Linked DNA regions of Oryctolagus cuniculus. The protein of the gene in region 7 interacts with the protein of the main gene of each other region in a pairwise test. Links are inferred from orthologs where the notes say so. Each region holds a gene or a part of one and is shown on either strand. Other genes may lie near its edges.

Region 1 (4,125 bases), on a different chromosome or scaffold from region 7:
ACAGATGATATAAAGAACACAACATTACAGGTAGTTTTCAACTTAAAAAAACAGGCACAAGATATTAAACTTCAACCTTAAGAACTACACTCTGATTTTTTTCAATATTGACAGACAACTCAGCACCTTAACTAATATCAGGATAACATACCAATAATGACTAAAATATTCAGAAAGTTGACAGAAAATGTGCATTTTTTAATTTTCATTTTTCCCTAAACTTTCTGCAGTGCCCTTATATAGGACAATCTTTACCAGGTGAATGTCATGAGCATTGTCAAAAAATACCTGAATTGTGCTGCCAGGGAAGTCTGATTATACCAACTTTATAAACAAGTAGGCTCTCCCTATCCAGGAGTTTGCTATATTTGAATCTCTAAAACAATAGCTTTTAAACAGTAACTGTGACTTGCACATGAAATTTAAAATACAGTACATAAAACATTTGCATATTTCCACTGTTTTTAAATGTTGTGAACGTTCCATCAGACTGTCTACAGAAAGTATTTTCATAAAGTATTCTGACATGTTAAAATACACACAGATATAGCAATGCATATTTTTTAAGCAGTACACCTTTGGGATAAACCTTAACTGATCAGTAACAATAGGAAATTAAAATAGAAGACATACTTACTGTCCCAAATTGCTTCACATTTTGAGCACACTTCTTACAAATTGTGTTAGTTTTGCTGAAAAAGAAATTACGTATGAAAGATCATATTTATGTAAGCTTCTGAGATGATCCGCACAATGATGAACTAAGTAAACTGATGAGTCAAATATCTATGATACTTAAAATTGTAATACACCTTCACTTTTTAACAATACCTACACAAAGTTCTTATTTGGGCTATTTTACCCCAATTTATTCCTTTTCCATTAACTTAACACAGATGTTTTTACACATTTTTATTGTGTGCTTTTTAAAGGATACAAAACAAAATCCTAGAGTTTCCTCTCTAGTTGGACAACCTTCCCACACTTGCCATTATTAATGCACAGCATTACGTATCAGTGCCTGCCTACCTCATCTTCCACATGGCCTTTGTCTATTATTACAATGACCATCTCTACTTATTTAGAAATTATCTGCACTTCTCCTAGGTTACCTTCTTGAGTGCTCCCAACCCGGAATTACTTGTTAAAAAGTATGCAATTCTACTGGTACCAAGTTACCAGATTTCACTATCAAAATAAGGCAGTTGATAACACTGTAGACCTGTCCTCAGATCCATTCACACGCTATCTTCTGTAGCTTAACAGTAATCTTCACCCTTCCATTCTTCTTAGCATGGCTGCACATTTTCCACACTAGTATCTTAGCCTTTATTTTTCCACGTCCAGTTCAGGTAGTAAAATGACCACCACTGTTTCATTTTCTATATTCTCTCCTACCACATATAAAACATTTACAACTCAAAGTCTCAGAGACTAAACCATTTTTTAAGATGATATAAATACCAGATTACAACCCCCAAGTACTCCTTCCAGATGGTATTCTGTCTTTAACGATCAAAAACTGATGTACAAACCTCTCTTGTTGGAATTCTGATCTGCAGTAAGTACATTTTACAATAGGATGTGCAATCCGACATTCCTGCAATAAGACAATACGTTAGTCAGTATGTAGATATCTCCAAGTCCCAAACCTTACTTTTCTGGTAGAAAATTATTACCAAATCTGGTCAGATGTCTAGAACAACAATAAAACCTGGCCCCTAACGTAAACAATTGGTGATTTGTCATGTAAGTGGCCAATCACGATATAATTCCTTAGGGAAGGCAGAGGTGTCTTTGTCTTTATTACACGTGGGACTATACTCCGGATAAAGTAAGAAAGCTGTCAGGGCCGATTTCAAGGATTGGTTAAATGTGGAACTACTTATTTTCACCGTTGCTCACAGACAGCATTCCGGCTTTAATGGGATGGGAGGAGCTCCAAATCATAGAGCATTCTGTTCCCAAACCAGTCGCTTCGCTTTCCTGGACAGGGAAGAAGGATGCCATCAGCTTGGCGGCTTCGGGTTCCTAGCAAGAAAGTGCAAAAACCGTCCCCTGCCTCCTGGTGGAAGGCGAGGACAGACCAGGCAGAACACCGAGATGAAAACATCTCCACCCCAGAGTCTCTGCGGCAGAGACAGGTGGCTGCCTCACTCAGCCCCACCCGAGACCCCCGGACGCTGGTGAGGACCGGCCCCCTCCCGGCCCGTCTGGAAGACGGTCTCCCTCTCGTGGGCCTTTTCCCGGCCGGTGCCAACGCCATCGGAACGCGGGGTCCCGGGTCCCGGTGGGGAGGCTAGGACTCCGGGCTCCCAAGCCCCCTGGTGCTCGTGAAGAGCAGGGGGCTGCAGCGCAGCGACCACCCAGCACCCTCGGGTTACGGCACAGGAAACCCCGCCAGCCCGCTGCCCACGGACCTTGCAGAGCTGTTGGCCCTGGGAGAGCTCCTCGAAGGGATAGCGCTGGGTACACTTGGTGCAGGCGTACAGGGCCGAGGCCGCCATCCTGCCCCTCAGTCTCCTCCTCCGCCGTCGCCGCCGCCCGCTCCGAGGCGGGGCCCCACGGGGAACTCGGCCGCCGCGGCCCGCGCTGCGGACTCCTCCTCCGCCCCCTCCCCCTGCCTCGCGCCCACCAGGGCCTCGCCGCGAGAGCCCGAGGCCCCGCGGACGACGCCGCCGTCGTCTCCCTCCGCCTCCACTTCCGCCCCAGCCCACCCAGCGGGGCCGTCCCCGCCTCTCCCGCTTAGGCCCCGACAGCGGCGGAGGGAGACGACGCCGAGAGTTCGGGGCGGTTCAGCTGCACGGCCGCGGATCCGCTTCCTTCTCGGCCTCCCTTCCGCACGCCTGATTGGCTGCAGCGGATACTACGTCACCCGGTCGCTCCTCCCAACGCCGAGCCCCAACTACGCAGAGCGCGCCCACAAAGGGAGGAAGTCGCCGGCCAATGACAGCCCGGCGCTCTCAGCGCGCGAAACCCGCTTGAAACCAGCCCCGCCCAAAGGTCCCCGTCGCCGCGCTCCCTAGCAGCCAGTCCGAGGCCTGGGTGAGGGAGCCCCGATCCAATTGGGCAAGGATTCGCGAAAGATTTGCCCTGCCTCGACATTTTCCCCTTGACTTCTCTTGGGCCAAATCACTAAGCCCCGCCCAATCCTATGTTATTGGCCAAAAGGTAAGTACTTCACCTGGAGAGGCGTCCCCAACTCAAACTGAGGTTTTCTCAGGCGTTTGATCCAAGGGACGTGATGGAGTGGTTTGGACTTCGCATTCGCCTTTACTCTAGTTCAACAATTCAGTTCCGTTGCCACTGGCGACCACACAATCCCCTCGCCCCAGTTCCCTCCGTGGGAAGACCCGCCCCTGGGTAGAACGCCCTGAGGCCCCGGCGGCGCGCAGTTACGGGTCCCGGGCGCGCTCAGTGACTCTCTACCTTGTGACGTCAGCAGGGGGGCGGGTTCTCTCGCATACGCGAAGACGTCCGCTTTATTTGATTGGCTACTGCAGACGTCCGTTAATGCGTGTTGCCCTCTCCGCGTGCGCCCTGAGCGTGGGCGTCGCCGTGGGGGTGTGTGGCTGGGGTTTCTAAGCTGGGCATCCAGCACCCCCCGCCCCTTCCATCCGGGGTTCGGTTTAGGGTCGCCCCTGGTGGGCGGCTCTCGAATCTTGAAGAGCACGAGAACTCAGAGCGCCGGGCACTCCGGAAGATGGCGGCGGCATCTGTCTCTACGGCTTCTGGTTCTCAGTTCTCGGTGAGAAGCGTTTGGCGTTCGAACGGGCTTTAGGTCGCTCTTGGCAGCTGTTCGAGTTTCGTCCCATTTCAGGGCGCCCTAGATTTGCTCTGACGCTGGAGGCCGGCGTGGGGCACTAGACCGCCCCGCGCCACCCGGGCTTCCGCTGCTCCCTGTTGAGGCCGCACCCTCTGGGATCCCTTGAAGCAGGCTTGGTTCGACCCCCCTGCCGCCTCATTCGCTTTTCGGCCTGCCTCGCAGCCCAGGAGGCTGGGCTGGGCTGACGGCGCCCGCTCCCTGGCCTGCGAAAACATTGCTGCTGAGGTCACGTGAGTGTAACGGCTGCTCTTAGCGAGGCGCCGAGACCAGGTGTGCGCGCCCGTGTGTCTAGGAGAGCG
Region 2 (3,500 bases), on a different chromosome or scaffold from region 7:
GCAGCTCAGCTTTTACAGTTAAATGAGATTTATTGATTGTGTCTTCCCAAGAGCTACATGGCGGAGGTGCAGGCTATAAAACACTCAGACAAGAACACGCTGGGAGAATCCGGGGTCTGAAGACTGTCTTACAAAGGACACACATACATAAAATACCCAGTGCAGATCTATTTTTGTTGCTTTGGGGCCATTATGAAGGTACAGTTCTCCCTCCAGGAGTGAGATAGTTTACTAAGAAAACAGGAAAACGCCTCACTGGCCTTTTTAAGAGGCATCACATCAGACCTGGAACTCGGGGACAAAGCTGCACAGGAGCAGCCACACGAAGCAAACGGCTGGAGCCGCGGTCAGGAGCACAGGACGGCCGCTCCTGACCTGACCAGAGGTGGCACTGCCTGCGCCACCTGTTCCGCTAAGCAGGCAGCCGGGGCAGGCTGGACGCAGTTTCCCAGCCGGGCCCCGGGGAGCTGCCACCCACCTTCACCTTCTGTGACCGCTGGCTCCCACCTCTCCAGAAAAGCCCAACCTCCCACTCAGCCCCCGCCCCTTGCTGTCCTCCTCCTCATCCCCAGTGTCCAGGGCGGGCCTGGGCAGGGGCGATGCTTCCAGGCACTGACGCTGCAGCTGCCACATGGGTTTGCACAAACCAGTGTTGCTGTGATGCACACGGGTGGGAAGAAGCCAGCCGTCCTACATCCTGGACCCGAAACATAAGGAAAGCCATGTCCACTTAAGAGTCCTGAGAGTTCACATAGAGCAAGTTAAAGCCCTTCATCCACCCCAGGAAAGGCAGGACAACAGGACGGATTCAGAACACACATGCTACCTGACACGAGGATTCAGAACGCACACGCTACCTGACGCGAGGATTCAGAACGCACACGCTACCTGACGCGAGGATTCCCTGGCATCTGAAAAGCAAAGAGGGATCTGCATCTTTCCCCAGGAGACCAAGCCCAGCGACCCTGGCTCTGGGTGTGGCAGGCGGGGCCGCGCCGGCTGTAGGCCTCCAGCAGCCTGTAGCCCACGGCTTCCTGCTCCTCTTCCCGCTCCATGCACTCGAGTGCAGACTAGCAGTCATTCTAATAACCAGAATGCTAACAACAAAGCAATAAAGGGACAGGCAACTTCAACAGCAGGAGCAATGCTTCTGGCTGCAAGAATCTGACTGATTCGCTGACAGGTTGGCCTTGAAAGACACAGAAAAGAGATTTAAATATAGAATTTGTAAGAAAATCCAAAGCCAAGGGGATGGTGGAGGAATGCCGAAAACCAGGAAAATACGACAGGAACCTCTGCCTGGCCGAGTACAGCACAAGGGAAACTAAAATCACGTAACCTGGCAGAGTGGACTCTGGCCGGCAGGTGGTGAAGAGGCGCTGGGGGCAGAGAGGAGGGCCTGGGAGGGTCTGGCAGGGCAAGTGCAGGGCAAGTGCAGTGAGAGGACACGACACTGTACACACAGGGACGCCCACCCTGGGCTAGAAGGGACTGAACAAGCAGCTGGAGAACAGACGGGCCCAGGGTCCACACCCAGAGAGACGGGCCCAGGGTCCACACCAGTGAGATGGGTCCAGGGTATGCACCCAGTGAGATGGGCTCAGGGTCTGCACCCAGAGATGGGCCCAGGGTCCACACCAGTGAGACGGGCCCAGGGTATGCACCCAGTGAGATGGGCCCAGGGTCTGCACCCAGAGAGACGGGCCCAGGGTCTGCACCCAGAGAGATGGGCCCAGGGTCTGCACCCAGAGAGACGGGCCCAGGGTCTGCACCCAGAGAGATGGGCCCAGGGTCCGCACCCAGTGAGACGGGCCCAGGGTATGCACCCAGTGAGATGGGCCCAGGGTCCACACCCAGTGAGACGGGCCCAGGGTCTGCACCCAGAGAGATGGGCCCAGGGTCCACACCCAGTGAGACGGGCCCAGGGTCTGAACCCAGAGAGATGGGCCCAGGGTCCACACCCAGTGAGACGGGCCCAGGGTCTGCACCCAGAGAGATGGGCTCAGAGTATGCACCCAGAGAGATGGGCCCAGAGTATGCACCCAGAGATGGGCCCAGGGTCCACACCCAGTGTGAAGCGTGGATTTCAAAGGCGCCCAGGTCTCCAGTTCTCAGGACAGCAGATGAGGAGCTTACCTTGACAATATCCAGTCCTCCCACAAGCTCTCCCTTCACGTAGAGCTGAGGGTACGTCGGCCAGCTGGAGTACGCTTTCAACCCTTGCCGAACCTAAACAGACAACAGGGACCCTGAAGCCTTCCTGTCATACCCTGACTGTTAAAACCAAGACTAAGGACAAAACACAAAATACAAAACTTACTTCTTCATCCTCCAGTATGTCGAAGGTTTCATATTCAATACTGCAAAAAGGAAAAACATTTCAACAGGAAGTAGTTTTTTTACACAAAAATCTAAAACCCATTGATGTTATTAACACAGTCCAGAAAAGCAGATCAACTTTTCCACTGCTAACATGTGCTACAGACCGACAGAATGACTTTACTTCTCGTCTGTCTGCTCCCACAGAGTAAATCATCCCAATTCAAACTGATCTGGATTCTTCTCTAGGTAATACAAGGGTACTTCAAAAGCTCGTTGAAAATAGAATTAAAAGATAATTTCGATGTTAAAAATTCTGAAATTCATGCATACAAGAAGTGGTCAAAGGACTGGAGCTATGGTATAGTAGACTAAGCCTCCACCTGTGGCAGCAGCATCCCATAAGGGCACCAGTTCGTGTCCCGGCTGCTCCTCTTCCAATCCAGCTCTCCTGATGGCCTGGGAAGGCAGTAGAAGATGGCCCAAGTGCTTGGGCCCCTGCAGCCACGTGAGAGACCTGAAGAAGCTCCTGGCTCCTGGCTTCGGATTGGCTCAGCTCCAGCCGTTGCGGCCATTTAGAGAGTGAACCAGCGGATGGAAGATCTCTCTTTGTCTCTCTGTCTGTAACTCTGCCTCTCAAATAAATAAATCTTTACCAAAAAAAAAAGTGTTCAGAAGGCTCACAGAAAATGCACATCGTAAAAAATGCACGGACTTCCCATTTTTCCCTTGAACTCTCTTAAGTTCCCTCGTACGGGGGTTATGGGGTAGATCAGGAGCTAGCAACATGCTCTCACAGGCCAACAGTGAACATTCCAGACTCTGCAGCTCCTCAGTTCTGTTACAGGGTATAGAACAGCCATAGCCACAGCCACGGCCAGAGCCACAGCGCCCACTTGCAGGGTGCGTGTGTGTTCCCACACCACCCGAGTCACAAAGCCTGCGGCCAGCTGTAGCCTACCGACCTCTGGAGCCCAGCACTGAGTGCGCTCAGCCCACTCCTGGCCCCAGCCCTCCTACGCAGCTGCTCTTTAATGCTCACAGAGCAGGATGGGGAAGTGGCACCACGCATAAAAAATAACTACACTTCCTATGAAAGGGAATCTGCATTCATACGGAAATCTTGTTTACTTAGTAACAAGTTCCAAAGAAAACTGCCCACAGGAACACTCAAAAAAAAT
Region 3 (4,274 bases), on a different chromosome or scaffold from region 7:
TCGGTGTGGAAAGGCCAGCCTGGGGGTCTGGGGCAGGTCCTCGAGGGGCCACCCTGAGCTCCCTCTGGGCGCAGCAGGACCCCCGTGACCACCAGCAGGGACAGTGGCAGCCAGGCCCAGGTCCAGCAGAAAAACTTCTCATTTCCTAAGGATGCACTGGCTTCGGCGCGTGGCCGATTGACTCGCAACCAGAAAACTCACACAATCCAAGCTTCCAGCTGGGGGCAGGGGTGGAGCCCTGGTCCCGCGCACCCCTGGTGAGGTGAGCCCGGCCTGGTCCCGCGCACCCCTGGTGAGGTGAGCCCGGCCTGGTCCCGCGCACCCGTGGTGAGGTGAGCCCGGCCTGGTCCCGCACACCCCTGGTGAGGTGAGCCCGGCCTGGTCCCGCGCACCCCTGGTGAGGTGAGCCCGGCCTGGTCCCGCGCACCCCTGGTGAGGTGAGCCCGGCCTGGTCCCGCGCACCCCTGGTGAGGTGAGCCCGGCCTGGTCCCGCGCACCCATGGTGAGGTGAGCCCGGCCTGGTCCCGCGCACCCATGGTGAGGTGAGCCCGGCCTGGTCCCGCGCACCCATGGTGAGGTGAGCCCGGCCTGGTCCCGCGCACCCATGGTGAGGTGAGCCCGGCCTGGTCCCGCGCACCCCTGGTGAGGTGAGCCCGGCCTGGTCCCGCGCACCCATGGTGAGGTGAGCCCGGCCTGGTCCCGCGCACCCCTGGTGAGGTGAGCCCGGCCTGGTCCCGCGCACCCCTGGTGAGGTGAGCCCGGCCTGGTCCCGCGCACCCGTGGTGAGGTGAGCCCGGCCTGGTCCCGCGCACCCGTGGTGAGGTGAGCCCGGCCTGGTCCCGCGCACCCGTGGTGAGGTGAGCCCGGCCTGGTCCCGCGCACCCGTGGTGAGGTGAGCCCGGCCTGGTCCCGCGCACCCCTGGTGAGGTGAGCCCGGCCTGGTCCCGCGCACCCCTGGTGAGGTGAGCCCGGCCTGGTCCCGCGCACCCCTGGTGAGGTGAGCCCGGCCTGGTCCCGCGCACCCCTGGTGAGGTGAGCCCGGCCTGGTCCCGCGCACCCGTGGTGAGGTGAGCCCGGCCTGGTCCCGCGCACCCGTGGTGAGGTGAGCCCGGCCTGGTCCCGCGCACCCCTGGTGAGGTGAGCCCGGCCTGGTCCCGCGCACCCCTGGTGAGGTGAGCCCGGCCTGGTCCCGCGCACCCGTGGTGAGGTGAGCCCGGCCTGGTCCCGCGCACCCGTGGTGAGGTGAGCCCGGCCTGGTCCCGCGCACCCCTGGTGAGGTGAGCCCGGCCTGGTCCCGCGCACCCATGGTGAGGTGAGCCCGGCCTGGTCCCGCGCACCCGTGGTGAGGTGAGCCCGGCCTGGTCCCGCGCACCCCTGGTGAGGTGAGCCCGGCCTGGTCCCGCGCACCCGTGGTGAGGTGAGCCCGGCCTGGTCCCGCGCACCCCTGGTGAGGTGAGCCCGGCCTGGTCCCGCGCACCCCTGGTGAGGTGAGCCCGGCCTGGTCCCGCACACTCCTGGGCCTCAGCCCCCTGCACACACACACTCCGTGTGGCCCCTGCCGTGTCCCCTCCTAGTCACACGGCAACGCCGGCTGCGAGGACACCGGCACCCAGAGAGCAGACAGCCCGCAGGTGCCACTTCCTGTCCAGACGCAGCTTAGACAGAACCACGATGGACCCGCCCACTTCATTCTGGCTCAGGACGGCCTGACCCCTGACCCCTGCACCAGCACCCAGCTTGACGCCATGTGAAGTTAGGAAACAGACACCGGATTCTGGGGTCCAAGGGGGAAAACCAAGCTTGCGCCGGGCACCCTCCTGCGCGGAGCCCGCACCCTCCTGCCTGCCGGGCCTGGGCTGGCACCGCTCGCCAGGTCTGCGGTCACAGTGGCCGCACGGGGGCCCGGGGCGCATTTGAGGGCGCGCGCCTGGGCGAGGGGTCGGGAAGTCCTAGGCCAGGGCTGGGGCAATCGCCACAGCGGCCGATCCTCAGGCTGATGTTACCGACGTGCAAACGGCCCTGCGCAGGAACGCAGGGAGCTGCGGCGGGGACGCGCGCACGGCCGAGGCCCCGCTCGGCTCAGGGAGGCCCCCGGGGCCCACGCCGACGTCCGCAGCCCCCGCGCCCTCCGCGCCGCCCCCGCCCACTCTCCGGAGCGTCCAAGGACCCCGATGTCCCCTCCTGCGGGGCAGAACGCGGGTGCCCGTCTCGCTCGGAACACCGCACGCGGCGAGGACCCGCGCCCGAGCCCGGCCCCCGCCGCCCCGAAGCCCCGCACCGCGCCAGCCGCTCGGGAAGGGTCGTCCCGCCGCCCTGGCCCGCAAGCCCACGCACGCGAAAGGCCGCGTGAGGAGCCCGCCCCCGCCCTCTCTCCCGCAACACCAGCGTCCGCACCAACGCGGGGGCCGGCAAGGCGGCTGCCACTCCGCGGGCGCCTGCGGCCGGACCGCGGCCTCGGAGCCTGCGCCCCGCCCGGCACCGGGCCCACGCAGAGCCGCGGCGGGCGGCGCCCCTGGAACCGCGGGCGGACTCAGGCTCGCGAGGGAAGGGGTGCGGGGGTCCGCCCGGGAAGGCCCCGCGCGCCCGACAGCGACGTCGCCCGACAGGGCCGGGAGCCCGCGCCAGGGACTGGGCCGCGCGCTCACCTGGAGAAGAGGCCGGCCGGGGCTGGGGTCCAGGACAGGCTTGCTCCGCCACCCGCACCGCGCGCGGATCGCCCCCCGCGGCCACCAGCTTCCGGCAACGTTGCGCTTTGCAAGGCCTCACGGGAGGCTGTCAGCGCGGCGGGGCGGGACTTCCGGCCGCCACCCCAGCCGGTCGCCATGGAGACGCACCTTCCCTGTGGTCGCCGGGGTCCGGGCGGGAGGAGGGTCGGGGCTGCGCGGGGGCGGGTCCCGGGCACCGTGAGCGGGGTGTCCCCGCGGGTCGGGGTCTCCGGAGGAGGAGAGCGGGTGGGTCCCCGGGTGCCCTGCGCGGGTCCGTGGGGCGGAGTGGACGCCACTCAGGTTCCAGGCCCAGGCAGGTGAGCGGTGGAAGCTGTGGGCTTGGTGACCTCTCGCTGTCCATGGCTTTTGCTTTGTTTTTGACTGTGTGGTGGCGTCGTCGCCTACAGCAGGAGTTAAACTCAGGGCTGGCAAGTGCCAATGACCTTGGCCGTGAGCGTGGCCTGCCCGCTGGTGTCCACCCGGTCTCAGCGTGGCTGTCGCCCGGGATGGAGCTCTGTGGGCGCACCTTCCTGGTGGCGCCTTTCACCTGACAGGTGTACTGATTTAAAGGGCGGAGGTCCGGAGAGATCACCTTCCCTGCACTGCTTCACTCCCCAGATGACAGGGGCTGGGCCAGGCTGGAGCCGGGAGCCCGGAGCTTCTCCCAGTCTCCCACGTGGGTGCAGGGCCCAAGCACCTGGGGCATCGTGTGCTGCTTTCCCGGGTCATAGCAGGGAGCTGGGTTGGAAGTGGAGCGGCCAGGACCGGCACTGATGCCCACACGGGTGCCAGCGTTGCAGGCGTCGGCTTTACCGGCTACGCCTCGGCACCGGCCCCTTGAGGCGACTTTCTATTCCTGTCAGCTGGCAGAGCCCCACCCACAGGAGCCCTGGGTCTCCCTGGGGACTGTAAGCTCACCTGGACAAGCACCACGCCCATCTCCGCCCCAGGGCGTTTCCCACAGGTGTTTAGGGGGCTGTGGACCAGGCAGGCCCTCAGCATCCTCCAGGCAGTGGCCAAGACCCCTGGGGCTCCATTGGAAGTAGCCATCCTCCCGTGTCCTGGGGGTCATCAGACCGCGCCAACAGGTGGGCCAGGTGCGAGGCTCCCAGCAGGAGGCCACGGTCAGCATCATATGTCCCACAGAGTGGCCCAGGGCTGCCTGCCTGGGCAGCCTGGGTCCCTGACCTCTCCTGTGATGACCATGAAAGAGGGAAGTTCCGTGACAGGGGGCCGACGGGAGGGGACCGTGTGGTCTGGGGATCCAGGCCTACCTGGTCAGAGGAGGAATGGGGCTCCCCTCCCCCATGCCAGGCCGGTGGTGCCTCCAAAGGAGCAGCACGGGACAGCGGGTCCTTCGTCCAAAGGACCCACTCCCTCCCTCAGGCCCCTGTCCGGTGCAGAGCCCTGAGGGTGCGGAGGCAGCCCCGCCCCCGGGCTCTGTGCCCACCTGGACCTGCTTGCCCTGAAGGGGCGGCGGGGGCTCACGACGTCCCCTCTGGGGAGCGGCCATCATGTGGACGGGCCCCTGTCTGTGGGGCTGTGCACCACGCGCGCCCCTGCCGCAGC
Region 4 (3,500 bases), about 25 Mb from region 7:
CCTAAACTTCCATGGAACACCTATATCCTCTATCAGAGTGCCTGGGTTGAGTCCAGCTACTTTGCTTCTGATCCAGTTCCTGCTAATGTGCATCTTAGGAGGCAGCAGATGATGGCTCAAGTATTTGGGTTTCTATCACTTTCACAGGAGATGTAAATGGAGTTCTGAGCTCCTGGTTTTGGCTTAGCCCAGACCTGGCTGTTTTATTTGAGGAGTAAGCTGGCAGATGGAAGATCTCTATCTGTCCCTGTTTCTGTCTGTGTGCTTTTCAAATAAAATAAAAATAAATATTTAAAAAATAGATTTTGAATGACAGAGAAACAAATTTAAATGTTCATCACAGCATATATAGTTTCTAACAAACTAGTTAATAATTTGTTGGACAAAGAGGGTAGAATTAATTATTCTATCTCTGGTCCAGTACATGAATTATTTATAAAGATACATAGTAGCCAGGCGATCTTTTGAAATATGATCAATCAAATCTTAACACTCCCTAGTTCAAAGCTTTCATCTATCTTTCCATCACAAAATAAAATACAAAGTCCTTATCAGGTCACCAGGGTCAGGCCCTTTCCCTCTCTTGATGTTATCTCCTTTTTTTTTTTTTTTGATTAAGATTTATTTATTTGAAAGAGTCATAGAGAGAGAGAGACGGAGAGGCAAAAGGAGAGGAGAGGACGTCTTCCATCCACTGGTTTACTCCCCAGTTGGCCACAAGGGCCGGAGCTGGGCTTATCTGAAGCCAGGAACCAGGAGCTTCCTCCAAGTCTCTCATGTGGGTGCAGGGGCCCAAGGACTTGGGCCATCTTCTACTGCTTTCCTAGGCCATAGCAGAGAGCTGGACTGGGAGTGGAGCAGCCAGGACTCAAAACGGCACCCATATGGGATGCCGGCACCATAGGCGGCAGCCTTACCCGCTATGCCACAGTGCTGGCCCCTGATGTTGTCATCTCCTACAGGCTGTTCTTTGATCATTCCACCCTCCAACAGGACACAGCTGTTCATGCCTCAGGACTTTTTTATGCTGCTTGTGCTGTCCCTCTTCTTGGAACACTCCTCCACAGCATGATGCTCCCTCATATAATCCTTTAGGGTCATTCTGCCCTCCCATCATTGTTTATTCCTAAACTTTTTAAGTTTTCCTCATGAAATTTATTATTACTTGGGACTATATCTATTTGCACATTTACTTAGTTTCAGTCTCACCTGAAAGTTTTACAAAGGCAGGATTAAAGTAACTTTGTCTGTCTTACCACAGTACCCGAGCATCCTGGCATACTACCATCAACATAATTGCTAATGATTAATGAGTGCTTACCATATAAAGGCCTTAGTTTCAGCTTTACCACTTCAGAGAGGTTAACTAAGTCACCAAAGGTTTAATAGGTAGGAAGTAACAGAGCTAGGTTTTGAACCTACCAATCTAATTCCACAGCCTGAGCTCACTGTTGTTACATTATTTCCATGTAAATAATATTACTAAAATTTGTGAATAAAAACACTTAGGAATTATCCCAAGACAATGTGCATAAAAATGAATTAGATATAAAGATAAAGTAACATGGTTCCTTAAGGAAACATTTTAATTATCTCCTGATGTCTTCTCCCACAAATAATTTAGCTCAACAAAAAAAGTTAGAAAATTTTCTCCAGTGATCAGATTTACAGAGGTCAGCATTGAGCCAGTGCTGTGGTGTAGCAGGTTAAGCAGCTGTCAGTAGCGCTGGAGTTCCATGTGGGTACCAGTTCAATTCCCAGCTGCTCCACTTCTGATCCAGCTCCCTGCTAATGCACCTGGGACAGTAGCAAAAGACGGCCCAAGTATCTGGGCCCCTGCACCCATGTGATAGACCTGGGTGAAGTTGAAGCGCTTTGCTCTGGCTCAGCCCTGGCTGTTGCGGGCATTTGGGGAGTGAGACAGCAGATGCAAGATCCGCACCCCCATCTCTCTCTCTCTCTCTCTAACTCTGCCTTTCAAATAAAACAAATAAATCTTATTTTATAAATAATCAGCATTATAAATTTCACATTTATAGCACAAAGTGTAAGTACATTAAGTCACCAGATACATTCACTCAGCTAGAAAGAACAGAAGCTCTCTGACAACTGCAGATTACACCTGTGCAAACTGTTACTGCAGAGACTGCTGCATTTAATAAAGTCAACATTTCCAACAGGCTTCTAACTTGCAAATGAATCTCTCTGTAATCTTCAACTTTCTAAAATTCTGAATTTTAAGTGAACTGGAATTTGCTAAAAGCAAATTTGACAGTACAGTGAATGAGCCCAAGACATGTGTGTAATAGAACTGAAAAGTTACTAAAGCCTTAAAATAAAATCATACCTGCTGAATGGGACTCTGTGCCTGAAACAATATTCTTCGTCCTAGTAGTTCTGCAAAGATACATCCGACAGACCAGATGTCAATAGCATTGCTGTAATGACGGCTGCCCATCAGGATTTCCGGAGCCCGATAATACTGAGTAACAACTTCCTGAGTCATATGACGGGATTCATCCAATTCTTCAACTCTGGCCAATCCAAAATCACAAATCTAAACAGGAAAGATAATCAAAATATTATCGAGCAGAAACTACAGCTACAAATGGAAGAGCAAAAACAAAGCAAAACGCCAAAAACTTGGTAGACTTCTGAACTTCTAAAGTTCAATGATACAGGTAGAAAATACTTTATATCAATAAATAATCTGGTCTCAAACATCACTGTTTCTATATAAAATGATGTATCTTAAAAAAATTCTTCCCACAGGGCTGGTGCTATGGCGTGGCAGGTGAAGCCGCCGCCTGCAGTGCCAGCATGCCATATGGGCACCGTTTAGTGTCCCAGCTGCTCCACTTGCAATCCAGCTCTCTGCTATGGCCTGGGAAAGCAATAGAAGATGGCCCAGGGCTGGTGCTGTGGCGCAGCAGGTTAACAACCTGGCCTAAAGTACCAGCATCCCATATGGGTGCTGGTTCAGGTCCTGGCTGCTCCACTTCTGATCCAGCTCTATGCTTGGCCTGGGAAAGCAGTGGAAGATGGCACAAGTCCTTGGGACCCTGCACCCATGTGGGAGACCCAAAGAAGCTCCTGGTTCCTAGCTTTGGATTGGCGCAGTTCCGACCATTGCGGCCAGTTGGGGAGTGAACCATCAGATGGAAGATCTCTTTCTCTCTCTGTCTCTCCTCTCTCTGTGTAACTTTTAAATAAATAAATCTTAAAAACAAACAAAAAAAATTTCTAAAAAAAAAAGAAGAAGAAGAAGATGGCTCAAGTTCTTGGGCCCCTGCACCCATGGAGACCTGGAAGAAGCTCCTGACTCCTGGCTTTGATCAGCGCAGCTCTGGCCATTGTGGCCAACTGGAGAGTGAACCAGTGGATGGAAGACTGCTTTCTTTCTCTTTCTTTTTGCCTCTCCTTCTCTCTGTAACTCTTTCAAATAAGTAAATAAATCTTAAAAAAAATATTCTATTTTCTTCCCAGGACGAGCACGAGAA
Region 5 (3,395 bases), on a different chromosome or scaffold from region 7:
CCCTTGGGGCGTCCAGTGTCTAGGGCATCCTCCATGTTGGGCCTTGAGACACAGATGGCTAATCCCACACCTGATGAAAGCAACATGACCCCGGTATTCACTGCCTGAGACTGCAGGCTCCCTCCTAGCCACGGGCGGATGAAAGTTCACTGCGGACTCTGACCAGCCCTGGCCAAGGGGCTTTATTCCTCCAAGTCCATTTATTGCGGTAGGTGTGGGTTTCTGCAAGAACTCGAGGCCCTGCTCAGGCAAGGAGCCAAAAAAGATGGCCACCCGCAACTCAGGGGGCTGAGCCTTCTCAGAACCCCGTCTGCTGTCCAGGTGGCTCGCATCCTCCTCCACCTTCTGCTGCTCTCACAACAAATGGCTCCCCTACCTTGACCGGGTGTCTTGGAGCCTTCTCAGACCTGTCTCTTAAACTTAACACTCCATGGGGCCTCCAGAACCCCTGCCCAGGGGCCCAGGCACCCGCCTTCCCCAGCAAAGACCAGCCAAGTGCATGCAGGTGAACCCACCGCTTTAATACCAGGGCACCGTGAGGACGACGGGGGTGGCAGTGGGGGCACCGAGGGAGCAGGTTCGGGACGGGGAGAGCCAGGTGGACACTCCAGACACAGAGACGCTCTGAAGGTGCCAATGAGCAGGGGCTGTGCCTCCAGGGAGGTGACCTCATCTTCCCTAGGGAGCAGGTGCACAGGCGGGGGACTGAGCCCAGGGCAAGGCAGGGTCCCCAGCCCCACTCCTACTGGGTCTCTCTGTCCCCACGAGGCCATCGGCCTGGGATCCTGGCAGCAGCGTCTCTGGGGGCCATGGCCCCAGCATCTGTCGCTGTCCTTGAGCTCCCTGAAGACAAGGGGCAAGGGGCAGTGCCCCCTGAGCCTGGGAAAGACAGAGAAGGGGGACTCAGGCTGCCTCTGATGGCCGGGTCCACCGGAGCACAGAGTGACCCACAGGAGCGCCAGCCCTCATCCCTGCCGCCTCCTCCCTGAGCCTGCCCCAAGAGGTGGAGAGCTGCCCAGCGGCATTCCCAGAGTCCAGATGTGCCTGGGCTACGGACTGGCCAAGGTCACGGTGTGGGCAGGTGCTGGCCCCGTGCAGCCCCCACCTCAGTTATAGAAAACCTCGTCTTCCTCTTCGGAGAGGGAGCCGCTGTCCACCGAGGGGAGCGACCCCTGCAGGCAGCCCCCTGCCTCGGGCCCCAGGCCCCCAGGCAGCCGCTGCCGGTGCTGCTGCTCAGGGCTGGGGGGCTGGGGGCTGGCAGGGGGGAGGGGAGAGGGGGAGGGCCACTCATCAGGGGAGTGGCCAGGCGAGGAGAAGGCCAGGAGGCTGTCATCCCGTGATGGGCCGCTCAGGAAGCTGTCCTGCAGGCCTGCAAAGCAGATAGGGGGGCGGATGCATCCGGGCTCCTGAATAGTGGCCCCTCCAGGTGGGAGGATGGCCCGCCCACAACCCCTACCCCACGCCCCACTGCGGCTGCCCAGTGTGTGACCTTGGCCAGGCCCCTGAACCTCCCTGTGTCCACCTCCTCTCTGCCACTCCAGGGAGGGTACAGGGTTGGGGCCAGGTGCTTGGCTGTGCCCGGTGCCCAGTTTCACATCCTCACTCTGACCCTCTGGCTGTGTCACCTGGGGTGAGCTTCAGGGCCTCCTGGTGCCTCCGTTGCCTTAGTTGTAAGAAGGGGACGATGGGACCTACTCCCAGTGCCACAGCGCAGTAAGGGACATTGCAAGCAGAAAGTGCTCATCACCCCCTCTCCCCATGTGGGTGGCACCCGCTGGGCAGTGGGTCCATTGTACAGATGAGAAAACGAAAGCTGGGGAAGGAAGGGTCTTGCCCGCCTCACACAGCCTGGGGTGGCCGCAGGCCTCTGGCCTCAGTTCTGCACCACCCACCCCAGCCCAGGCCCCCCGGGCTGTACCCTGGAGCTGATCCGTGTCCTGGGGGCTGGTCTCGAGGTGCAGCTCCTCACCGTCCAGCGAGGACCAGGCGCTCAGTGTGGCCTCTGTGATGGCAAACTGCTCGGCGACCCCTGGGGACAGTGGGGTATGGGCAGGTGGGGGGAGCGCTGGCACCAAGACCGGCTGAGGGGCCACCTCTCGGGGCTGCCAATCACACCCAGCCACACCCACCCTGTGCCTTCTCTGCCACCCACATGGTGCCCATACAGTGACCCCGCTCCCAGAGGCCGCACTCCACCCCTGCAGAGCGGCCGGGCCCCCTCTCCCCTCCCCCTTCCCGCTGACCTGCTGCAAAGCGGGCCTCCCGCAGCTCATCCGGGAGGCAGTGGTAGCGCTCGTCCTCGGCCGGGGACAGCTCCCAGCCCGATCGCTGGGCGCTCCAGCCCTTCCACTCAATGAGGTGGGCCACGCGGCCCCGTGCCATGGCCGTGGGCTTGGTCATGTGGTCCTTGATGCTCTGCACCACCCCTGGGGCATTGGGGACATTGGGGGACCGTCCCGATGTTACACCCTGCTCAGGTCTGCCTCCCAACCCCTGGAGGCTCTCCTCAGGGTCATCAGGTGGCCCGTACCCCAATCCATCCATGCCTGAGTACGGGGGATGCCCTGTACCCCCCGCCAAGTGCCCCACAGGATTCCAGGGCCCACCCAGTCCCTCCCACCCCTCCCTTCCCAGGGCCTCCCAGGGCTGCACGGCCCCCTGGGCTCAGATGCCCCCCACTCTGAGCCCACGCCCCCCTTCTCCACGCTGGCCACACCCTCCAGTCCTTCTTGACCGAGCTCTCACCCTTGTCCCCGCCCCTCACTCCCTGCCGCTTCTCTCCTGAGCTGTCCCTCAGCGAAGTCCTGCACAGCCACATCTTTCTCAGGTCTGCTGGAGACTGCACCCCAAGGGGACGTGGGTGGCAGAGGGGCAGGGAGACCAGGCCTGGCAACATCGGGGAGATTCGGGCCGCCCCAAGGGGACGTGGGTGGCAGAGGGGCAGGGAGACCAGGCCTGGCAACATTGGGGAGATTCGGGCCACCCCAAGGGGACGTGGGTGGCAGAGGGGCAGGGAGACCAGGCCTGGCAACATCGGGGAGATTCGGGCCGCCCCAAGGGGACGTGGGTGGCAGAGGGGCAGGGAGACCAGGCCTGGCAACATCGGGGAGATTCGGGCCGCCCCAAGGGGACGTGGGTGGCAGAGGGGCAGGGAGACCAGGCCTGGCAACATTGGGGAGATTCGGGCCGCCCCAAGGGGACGTGGGTGGCAGAGGGGCAGGGAGACCAGGCCTGGCAACATCGGGGAGATTCGGGCCGCCCAAAGTCCCACTTGGAGCCTGTGGTAGAAAGTGCTGGATTGCATCAGGGGCAGCTGTTTGGCTCAGTTAAGATGTTGCTTGGGGCAGGCGCTGTAGCGCAGTGGGTTAAAGCCCCGGCCTGCAGGGCCAGCATCC
Region 6 (4,145 bases), on a different chromosome or scaffold from region 7:
CCACAGTGCTTGGCTTCCTGGAAGCTGTGGGGTGGGTGCACTTGACTTTCAGAGCATTGCAGTGGCGGGAGCGCTGAGGCAGTGAAGAGTGGACAGGTCGGGCTGCCTGCGTCCCACTCTGTGTCTCGAGCCGGGAGGGAGGAGGCAGGACCCACTAGACGGGGTTGGTCACAGATCCAATGAAGCCACACCAGCCGAGGGTGGAGGGGTGCCCGTCACTCGTCCTTCTCCTCCTGTGGCAGAGGGAGGTGCCAGTCTGCAGGAGGGCTCTGCCTCGGAGTCCACACCAGGGCGTGCTTCTGTGCGGCCTGGACCCGCGCCCGCTCACTCTCACAGAGGGATCGCTGTAAAAAGACACCCTGGTCACGTCCCCGCACGTGGCCTCATGGTCCGCAAGCACCCTCCCATGGCCCCTGTGCCTCCCGTCTTCTCAGCACCTTTCTGAGCACTGATGGACAAGTGGGGGCATATGGGACCCAGCACTCTGCTGCTCGGCCAGCCTCTTGCATCTAATATAGTCTAGCAAGTGCTCCATGTTCACACACATGAGGGATTTTAAAACATCTGGGTCTCAGGACTCAGTGGCTTCAGTTGCCTTGGTCAAGTCTGGGGCAGGTTCACCTGGGCTGAGGGCCGGGGGCACTGCAGGGGGAAGTGTGGTCAGAAGGGAGGAAGATGAAGCACAAGACCAGGGGGAGTCCCGACCACAGACACGGGGCTGTGCAACCCGGCAGCTTCCCTGGGCAGTGGTCGCCCAGCACACACGCAGCGGGAGGGCGTCATGGCCGGGCTGACTCTTGCCACTGTGGGCCCCTGGTGGGTGGGTGGCAGGTGCCCGGCAGGCCTCATCACACACACGAGTACACCTATCCACCTGTCTGTCTGCATTCAAGCTCTATTGTTTGAAATGTTTTTTGTTGTTGTTGTTCTCATTTACAAAGTGGTAAACAATGTAAAGGAGGACACAAAAGATTCCCAGACATCCACCCTGGACGTGGCGGTGAGCAGCGAGCTTCACCAACACCCAGAAAGTAGCGCTCTCGCTGGTGCCCCCCAGGTGGGGTGCGCCTCTGCTGAGTAGTCCACTTCCAGCTCTTCTCCCTGAACAATGTGGTGCTGGCACCTTTCCGTGCCCACGCCCAGGGACATGACTCTACCCCACTGTGTGGAAAAGTTATCTGGTCGAACGTCTGCCAGTGGAATTTGGGTCACTTTCAGTTCCTGTACTGTCAAAAACAGTGGCACAATGCAGATTGTAATGTCCTAACTGTAATGTTATCCACTTACCTCTCCCAGGATAAAATCCCAGAAGTTAAGACTACGCCTTTGACATTTGGGCCATCAGAACACCATACACCCCCACCAGCACTATACAAGTAGCCAGGACTAACTAAACCCTATCCACACTTCTGACTTCATGCTGGCCAAAAGCCACTCTCCCTGTCATTTTAACTAGCCTACCTGCCTACATTTGGTTTCTTTTTTCAGTGAATTGCTTCTTTGTTTCTTTTGCTCATTTTTTTTCTTAAATTCCAAAATCCACCCAGTTTTCTTACTGATAGAAAAGTGCTCTTTCAAATACACATACACACATGTTATCCATCTCTTGCCATACAGGCTACAAGCTTTCTCCCTCTTTTGTTTTGTTTCCTTTCACTTAGGGACTGTCTTCATTTTCTTTCCTTCCTCCCTCCCTTCTTCCCTTCCTGGATTCTCTTATATGAAAGTCAGATTACAGACTTAGAGAAAGAGAGGGCTTCCATCCGTTGGTTCACTCCCCAGCAGGCTACAATGGCCAGAGCCGAGCCAGGCTAAAGCCAGGAGTGTCATCCAGGTCTCTCACATGGGTTCAGGGGCCCAAAGATTTGTGCCATCCTCCACTGCTTTCCCAGGCACATTAGCAGGGAGCTGGACCGGAAGTGGAGCAGCGACTCGACCTAGTGCTCGTATGGGAGCTGGCGCTGCAGGTGGCTCGACCTAGTGCTCGTATGGGAGCTGGCGCTGCAGGTGGCTGGAGCCAGTGCTCGTGTGGGAGCTGGCTCGTATGGCAGCACACTTTGAGGAGAGAAACTTCCGAACTCTTCGCCTAAGCCCACCAGGTCCCTGGCGCCTTTGCAACCTCACCCCACGCCTCTACAGCCCGCTCCCTCCCCGCTCCGGGCCTGGGTTACGCGGTGGGGTACACCGCGCGGTCCTCCCATCGCTGTCTCCGACGCCGTCCGAGGACTACTTTTCTGGGGGTATTTCTCACAAGAAGGCAAGGCCGGGGCGGGGAGGGAGGGAGTGAGGGAGGCCGGCCGCCCGGCGCCCGCCCCGTCCGCACACCTGGGCCTCTGCGCTGCGGCGCTCCTCCCAGTCGCGGCAGCGGGCCAGGTCGCGCCGCCACTGCTCGCAGGACGGCCGCTCGCCATGGACGTAGTAGTGGTGCAGGAAGTGCCTGGCGCTGCGGCACAGCTTCCACTCGGCGCGGTAGGCTTCACAGGGGCGCGGCGGCTGCGGCGAAGAGGCCAGGCCTCAGCGACTCCCCCGCCCCGCCCTGCCCTTCCCTGGGAGAGGCCGCCGGGACCGCCGAGCTCTCCGCGCGTCCCCGACACCCCCACCACACTCACCTGCCAGCCGCCGCCGCCGTCAGCCATGTCTGGGCCACTACCAAATCCCCGCTTTCACCCGTCAGCCAATGAGGCATGAAGAAAGCCGGCGCTGGCTGATGGATGGACAGAAGAGCCAATAACTCTAAGATACGACGACGAACTCCTCGCTCGCCTCCTTGAAAGGCACCAATAATCAGCACGCCTGTACTAAACAGCCAATCACAGCCGGGGGCGGGGCCGTGCGAAGAGGCGGGTCCCCACAGGGGGCGGATGGGAGGGCGTGTCCCGAGGCGGGCAGCAGGCACCTGCCTGGTGACCAGCGGGCGTTGGGGGCAGCGAAGCCACGTTGATTTGGCTGCAAGGATATGGTTCAGGCCAGATCTTTTTGGCAGCTTTGTTATCTTCCTTGACCTCAAAGATCCGATTTATTTCTGCAAACACATACAGCTCAACTCTGCGCCAGCTGACCCCCTAGGTCTTCAGCTGCAGTGGTGTCGCCATGGTGTCCACTCAGGGTAGAGTGGCGCTCGCAAAGTGACCGAGGCTGTTTGGGCGTGACGCATGTCCTGGGACCAAGGGCCATCAGAGCTGGCCGGAGCTGGCTGTCTGGCACAGCTGGGGTGGCCAGGGTTGCTTTCCTGAGGGCGTGGGCCATCAGCACAGAGACAATGAGGCCAAGTACAGAAGGGGCCGGGCGTGTAGAAGCTCCCCGGGACACCCGTGCTGTGGGTCTCCCACATCTGTGAACAGAACCATTGGCTGGGGAAACCCCAGGAGCAACATGGAAGGTGGCTCGGGAAGCTGTGGGTTTTTTTGTTTGTTTGTTTTTTAAAGATGTATTTATTTGAGAGGTAGAGTTACGTAGAGAAAGGTGTTCCATCCACTGGTTCATGCCACAATGGCCAGAGCTGGGCTGAACCTAAGCCAGGAGCCAGGAGCTGCTTCTGTGTCTCCCATGCAGGTGCAGGGGCCCAAGCACTTAGGCTATCTTCCACCACTTTCCCAGGCCATCAGCAGAGAGCTGGATCAGAAGTGGGGTAGCCAGGGGCTCACTTACTGTGCCAGAGCGCTGGTCCCCGGAAGCTGTGGTTTTACCACGAGACTGGCTGTTGACGTGCTACCTCACTGTCCAAGTGCCAGGGAGGACAGAGAGGAAAGCTGCAGCAGTAACATCCAGGGCCAAAACTAAACGGCCCAACAGTGGGGTCTCCCCCTGCCCAGGAAGGGGACTGTGCCTCCAGGGAAGGAAAAGGGAGGGTTTCATTGCATGCACACAGCAGGGGTGGCATGGTGAAAACAGAAACCCAGGGCCCGGCCTACCTCCACTCATTATGCACAAAATGGCCACTTGCCAGCCAATGCAATCCTGCACTTGGAGGCCGCCCCACCCACCAAGGAGGGCTTCCACCTCTGCTAGGGACCCTGAGGTCACTGCAGGCCTTCATGCCTTCCAGAATCAGCAATGGCCGCTGTCAGTGACAAAGTGGCAGCTGCACCAGAGGGCAGAGCCTGAAGCAGCGCGACCATCTCTGCTCCTCACTGACTGACACTGGA
Region 7 (4,169 bases):
TGCCTAGGTGGGGGAGGAGAGAACGGTCTGCGGAGATGGAGGGAGTGATAGCAAACGTGAAAGGGAGGGAGGCCAGGGTGGCTGGGTGAGGGAGCCACAGGCCTGGTCAGGGGCCCGTGGGAGGCTCGGGGAAGGGACGCGTCGGGCCTGACCCCCGGTGGCAAACGTTTCCATGAGCCCGGACGTCTGCCTCTCACGTCCCCTTGTCCCTGGGCGTGGAAGTGCCGCGGGCTCGCTGCAACCACTGGACAAGCTCATTGCAAACCGATTGCACACTTCCTGCCGCCAGCAATCAGGGCAAGGGCACGGCTGCTCAGCCTCACTGCCGGCCTTGGAGAGGGCCGCCTTAGGGCATCCAGGACCTTGTGCCTCTATCGCCGACGTCCCCAGCGCACTGGACTTCTAAGTTCTTCTGTGAGAAGTCTGCCTTCTGCCATTTTCCTATTGAATGCTCTTAATCTGTGCGACCGCTTCTAGAAGCCTCAATGCACACAGCCCCCGATCTTTTCAAAACTGCTTGTTGCTGGGAAACGAGAACATTAAAAAGTGTGCAAACTAACAGAAAAGACGCCCGGTGTGAGGCGAACACACCCCTCACCCCTGAGGCCGTGACAACCCCAAGACGTCTCCAGACGCTGCTGCGAACGTCCCCGGTGGGCAACACTGCCCCCGTTGGGGAATCTCTGCTCTCCTCACTCGCCGTGTCCGCTCCTGGAAGGCAGAGCTGACTGAAGCTAGGAGCCACTTGCCCTCGCTGCCCACCCGCGCCGGGCGCCCCCCTGGCTCCGGGCCTGTGCGATCTCCCAGCGCCCCGCCCCGCCCCCGCTGCGACCCAGGTCCTCGCGGGTTCAGCTCGAGCCACTGCTCCCACGGCCGACTTCAATCCCTCCTTCTCGGGCGTGAGCCACCCTCGCTCCTCTCCCTCCAGCACCTCCACGGCACCCGGCACGCGCGCTGAGCCTGACCCGGCCGCTTAGGCGAGGGTCTGGGAGCTGCCCCTTTCGGCGTCCACAGCCATCCCTCATCTCCCCTCGGGGTTCGGCTGCCCGACCTTTAACGCGAGGCGGCTCAAAGAACAGAAGCGGAGTGCACAAAGCTCCGCCGCCCAGCGCCCGCGAACGCCCGCGAACGCCCCGCAGAGGCGCGGCCGGCCGGCGGTCAGCGTCCACAAATAACGCGGGCCCCTCCTCCCGCACACAACTCCAGGCGCCGGCGGCACGCGGCTGGCTGCGAGGCTGGCAGCGGCAGCCCCGGCCGAGGCGTCATATGATTCCCCAATCACATGATCCCAAGAAAATGGGGTGTGGGGAGAGAGAGGAAGGGGAGGAGGAGGCTGAATTGAGAAAAAGAAACACAGCTTTCCAGGCTGGCCCCGCCTCTACGTCGAGGACTAGCCAATGGGGGCGCGGTATCTGGGATCCCCGGCCAATGGAAACAGAGGAGGGTGGGCCAGCGCGCTGAGGGGCCGGCGTCCGTGAGGGGAGCCGCGGCTGCTGCCCAGGGAGCGCGGACGCGGACGCAGGTAGCAGGGCGGCGGCGCAGGGGCTTGGAGGGGGGTGTGGGCTTAGGGGTCCTCTGGCGTCTCAGCCCGGAGGCGAGAGAAGAGCCGCTTGTGGAAACTCCTTTAGGGGTTTCTGATGCACGGGGGTAGGGGGCGCAAGCAGTCACTGCAGACACCCCCACCCGAGGGGGCTTCTCTGCCTCCCAGAACCCCGGGAGCCGCAGTCCCCCCGATTCTTGAGCCTGCCCCACCGCCTGCAGGCAGGTGCCGGCTCTTCCCCTTCTGGCGGTGAGGGTGGGGGGTGGTCCCTGAAGGGGAGGCCCGCCCGCCCGCCGCTTGTCCCGGGGCGCAGAGGGGCTTGGAGCGGGACAGGGGAGAGGTGACTGAACCCCCGGGTGGAGTCTGGCTCTTCCCCAACTTCCTCTGCCGGGGGGCGGCACGAGCTAACTTCCGCCTCTCCCCGCCACTTTTTCCTGCGCCTTCGCAGTTCACCTTTTGGGGAATTTCCTGGCCCCTTGGCCCTGGGGTTGGGAGTGCCACTTAGCGGAAGGTGCCAGGGGCTTACAGAGGCTCCGTCCTCTCCGGGCCGGGGGTGAGGGTGGGGTGAGGGAGACCCTCGCCCCATCGCCGGGGCTGTGCGCGCCTGCGTGCGTGTGGATTCGCCAGAGCGTGCACTGCACTCCCCCCACTCCAGATACAGGGCGAGGAAGATACGACAGCTAGGTCACGGGCGCCGGGTAGTCCCGGGCAGACAGGCCCCCACCTGGCGGCCTGCGCTGGGGCTGGGCACGGAGAAGCAGGTGCAGGCGGCTGCGCGGGCTCTGCCCGGGAGCTGAGGGGCGAGCGCGGACCTGGGGACTCGGTCCAGGACCAGGCGGCTCGGTCCAGGACCAGGCTGCGGCCGCGAGAGCCAGGGGGTGGCCTTCCAGGTGTGTGGGGGGCCGGGGGGGGGTACTTGAGCAAATGCAGGAAACACTTCCATTCCCTGCCTGTGCCTGGACCCCAGGCCCACCCCTCCCATGGTTTGGGGTCCCTTCCCGGGCCGGCGTGCCCTGAGCCATCAGGGCCCGCTCTCACTGGAGCTGGCACGGGGCTGGACTTCTGCCATAAAGCCTCGGGCTCCAGTTTCCCTCTGAGGGTAAAGGTCGTGCTCCTCACGCTGGATGATGGTTGCAAAGCAGTAAACAACCAGGAGTGCCCCGGCAGGCATGCGGCCCGGCCGGGAGGCAGGGTAGCGCTTCTTGGGTTGGCGGCACAGGCCCCGAGCCCGGGGAAAGACTTGTGTGGGTAGCAGGAGGCGGCTTCCCCCAGGAGCCTGTGGCCGGTTCCTCCCGCTGACTCAGATGGGCCGCCCAGCGGGCGCAGTAGCCTCTGCCCACATGTGGCTGCTTCATTTCCAGCAGAGGAGACATGGGGATGGGTGATGTGTTTGGGGACTTGACAGGGCCCTTGGTGGTGTTGGGGGCCCTCAGCACACAGGGATCTGGAAGCTGCCCTTGCCTCCGTGTCTCCTGTCCTGGGTGGGGTGGGGACCGCCGCGGGCAGCAGTGAGGGAGCCCTGGGGAAGACACCCGAGTCTCCACTGGCTGCCACTTCCTGTTTCACAACTTTTCTTAACCCTGTGGCGTCCGTGTCAGGAAGTGACCACTGGGCCCTGCGAGACCACAGCAAGGGCAGGTGTGGGTGCAGCGTTGGGAGGACTGGCTGAGGAGTGGGGAGCCTTGGATGTTCCTGGAGAAGCCCCTCCTGTACCCCAGCCCCATCCTCTCCCCTGGCCCTGAGCCCCCCCCCCCGAGGTGGCCCACGTCTCCACACATCACATCCACAGAATCCACACTGCGTCTCACAAGCCCGCGTCTGCACACTCGCACACGGAGACGCAGGAGTGTCACGTGCTTGGAACATGCAATGACACACAGGGAGGAAGCTGCGTCCGAGCCACACGTTTCTGCGTCGGGACGGAGCTGGGAGGCAGGCTCCAGGTCTCCCGGGCCTGGACGTCGGCCTGGGGCTGCCTGAGCGAGCGGCTTCAGACTCTGAGGCGGCCTGGACTTCAGCTGGTTGACAGGTGCCCGTTGGTGTTCGCAGGCAGACCATGTGGGCCCTGGTGAGCTGGGTGGCCGTCATGGCAGGGCTGGTCGCTGGAACACAGTGCCCCGACGGTCAGCGCTGCCCCGAGGCCTGCTGCCTGGACCCTGGAGGAGCCGGCTACAGCTGCTGCAGCCACGTGCCGGTGAGTGCCCGGCTAAGAGCCTTCCCAAGGCGGGCAGAGGCCTTCGGTCTATTCTCTGGCCTCTCTTTGCAGGACAAATGGCCCCCGACACTGAGCAGGCGTCTGGGCAGACCCTGCCAGGTGGGTGCCCACTGCACCCACGGCGCCTCCTGCGTCCTCACCGTCTCGGGCACCTCCAGCTGCTGCCCCTTTCCGGAGGTGAGGGCACCGCTTATGCAGTGGAGGGGCTCGGAGCTGCCTTTGCACTTTGCCTGCCTGCCTCCCGCCCCCCGCCCCCTCGGGTAGGAGGGCCATCCCGACGCAGGCGCCTCTGTGTCCCACAGGCTGTGTCCTGCGCGGATGGCCGTCACTGCTGCCCTCGGGGCTTCCACTGCAGCGCGGATGGGCGAGCCTGCTTCCGGGCGGCAGGTGCGGCAGGGGCACAGGGGAGGGCCG

Evidence for each region.
Region 1: the proteins of GRN (region 7) and FAM76B interact in binary tests that used the Homo sapiens proteins (3 or more experiments, as listed by UniProt). The link is inferred for Oryctolagus cuniculus from reciprocal best matches to the Homo sapiens genes GRN and FAM76B.
Region 2: the proteins of GRN (region 7) and GLRX3 interact in binary tests that used the Homo sapiens proteins (3 or more experiments, as listed by UniProt). The link is inferred for Oryctolagus cuniculus from reciprocal best matches to the Homo sapiens genes GRN and GLRX3.
Region 3: the proteins of GRN (region 7) and ARFGAP1 interact in binary tests that used the Homo sapiens proteins (3 or more experiments, as listed by UniProt). The two-hybrid records come from large-scale screens. The link is inferred for Oryctolagus cuniculus from reciprocal best matches to the Homo sapiens genes GRN and ARFGAP1.
Region 4: the proteins of GRN (region 7) and NLK interact in binary tests that used the Homo sapiens proteins (3 or more experiments, as listed by UniProt). The two-hybrid records come from large-scale screens. The link is inferred for Oryctolagus cuniculus from reciprocal best matches to the Homo sapiens genes GRN and NLK.
Region 5: the proteins of GRN (region 7) and FAM131C interact in binary tests that used the Homo sapiens proteins (3 or more experiments, as listed by UniProt). The link is inferred for Oryctolagus cuniculus from reciprocal best matches to the Homo sapiens genes GRN and FAM131C.
Region 6: the proteins of GRN (region 7) and C21H22orf39 interact in binary tests that used the Homo sapiens proteins (3 or more experiments, as listed by UniProt). The link is inferred for Oryctolagus cuniculus from reciprocal best matches to the Homo sapiens genes GRN and C22orf39.

What each region holds. Positions count from the first base shown.
Region 1 is NC_091432.1:87,210,554-87,214,678, forward strand, and holds the start of FAM76B (protein FAM76B), read right to left. Parts: upstream 2,801-4,125; 5' UTR 2,508-2,800; coding exon 2,421-2,507; intron 1,601-2,420; coding exon 1,536-1,600; intron 693-1,535; coding exon 638-692; intron 1-637. Other genes in the region: CEP57 (centrosomal protein of 57 kDa), read left to right, coding at 3,704-3,748. UniProt on the Homo sapiens protein: Negatively regulates the NF-kappa-B-mediated inflammatory pathway by preventing the translocation of HNRNPA2B1 from the nucleus to the cytoplasm.
Region 2 is NC_091446.1:2,025,041-2,028,540, forward strand, and holds part of GLRX3 (glutaredoxin-3), read right to left. Parts: intron 2,361-3,500; coding exon 2,321-2,360; intron 2,230-2,320; coding exon 2,137-2,229; intron 1-2,136. UniProt on the Homo sapiens protein: Together with BOLA2, acts as a cytosolic iron-sulfur (Fe-S) cluster assembly factor that facilitates [2Fe-2S] cluster insertion into a subset of cytosolic proteins.
Region 3 is NC_091442.1:570,702-574,975, forward strand, and holds the start of ARFGAP1 (ADP-ribosylation factor GTPase-activating protein 1), read right to left. Parts: upstream 2,801-4,274; 5' UTR 2,646-2,800; intron 1-2,645. UniProt on the Homo sapiens protein: GTPase-activating protein (GAP) for the ADP ribosylation factor 1 (ARF1). Involved in membrane trafficking and /or vesicle transport.
Region 4 is NC_091448.1:43,824,361-43,827,860, reverse strand, and holds part of NLK (serine/threonine-protein kinase NLK), read right to left. Parts: intron 2,558-3,500; coding exon 2,348-2,557; intron 1-2,347. UniProt on the Homo sapiens protein: Serine/threonine-protein kinase that regulates a number of transcription factors with key roles in cell fate determination. Positive effector of the non-canonical Wnt signaling pathway, acting downstream of WNT5A, MAP3K7/TAK1 and HIPK2.
Region 5 is NC_091438.1:153,577,352-153,580,746, reverse strand, and holds the end of FAM131C (protein FAM131C), read right to left. Parts: intron 2,427-3,395; coding exon 2,244-2,426; intron 2,030-2,243; coding exon 1,919-2,029; intron 1,370-1,918; coding exon 1,107-1,369; 3' UTR 1,106-1,106; exon of another isoform or gene 880-1,105; 3' UTR 501-879; downstream 1-500.
Region 6 is NC_091452.1:27,283,293-27,287,437, forward strand, and holds the start of C21H22orf39 (synaptic plasticity regulator PANTS), read right to left. Parts: upstream 2,801-4,145; 5' UTR 2,637-2,800; coding exon 2,610-2,636; intron 2,494-2,609; coding exon 2,326-2,493; intron 345-2,325; coding exon 216-344; 3' UTR 1-215. UniProt on the Homo sapiens protein: Negatively regulates long-term potentiation and modulates adult synaptic plasticity. Stabilizes the interaction of RTN4 isoform A/Nogo-A with its receptors, inhibiting clustering of postsynaptic AMPA receptors at synaptic sites.
Region 7 is NC_091448.1:18,943,000-18,947,168, reverse strand, and holds the start of GRN (progranulin), read left to right. Parts: upstream 1-1,369; 5' UTR 1,370-1,522; intron 1,523-3,589; 5' UTR 3,590-3,596; coding exon 3,597-3,734; intron 3,735-3,806; coding exon 3,807-3,932; intron 3,933-4,057; coding exon 4,058-4,142; intron 4,143-4,169. UniProt on the Homo sapiens protein: Secreted protein that acts as a key regulator of lysosomal function and as a growth factor involved in inflammation, wound healing and cell proliferation. Regulates protein trafficking to lysosomes, and also the activity of lysosomal enzymes.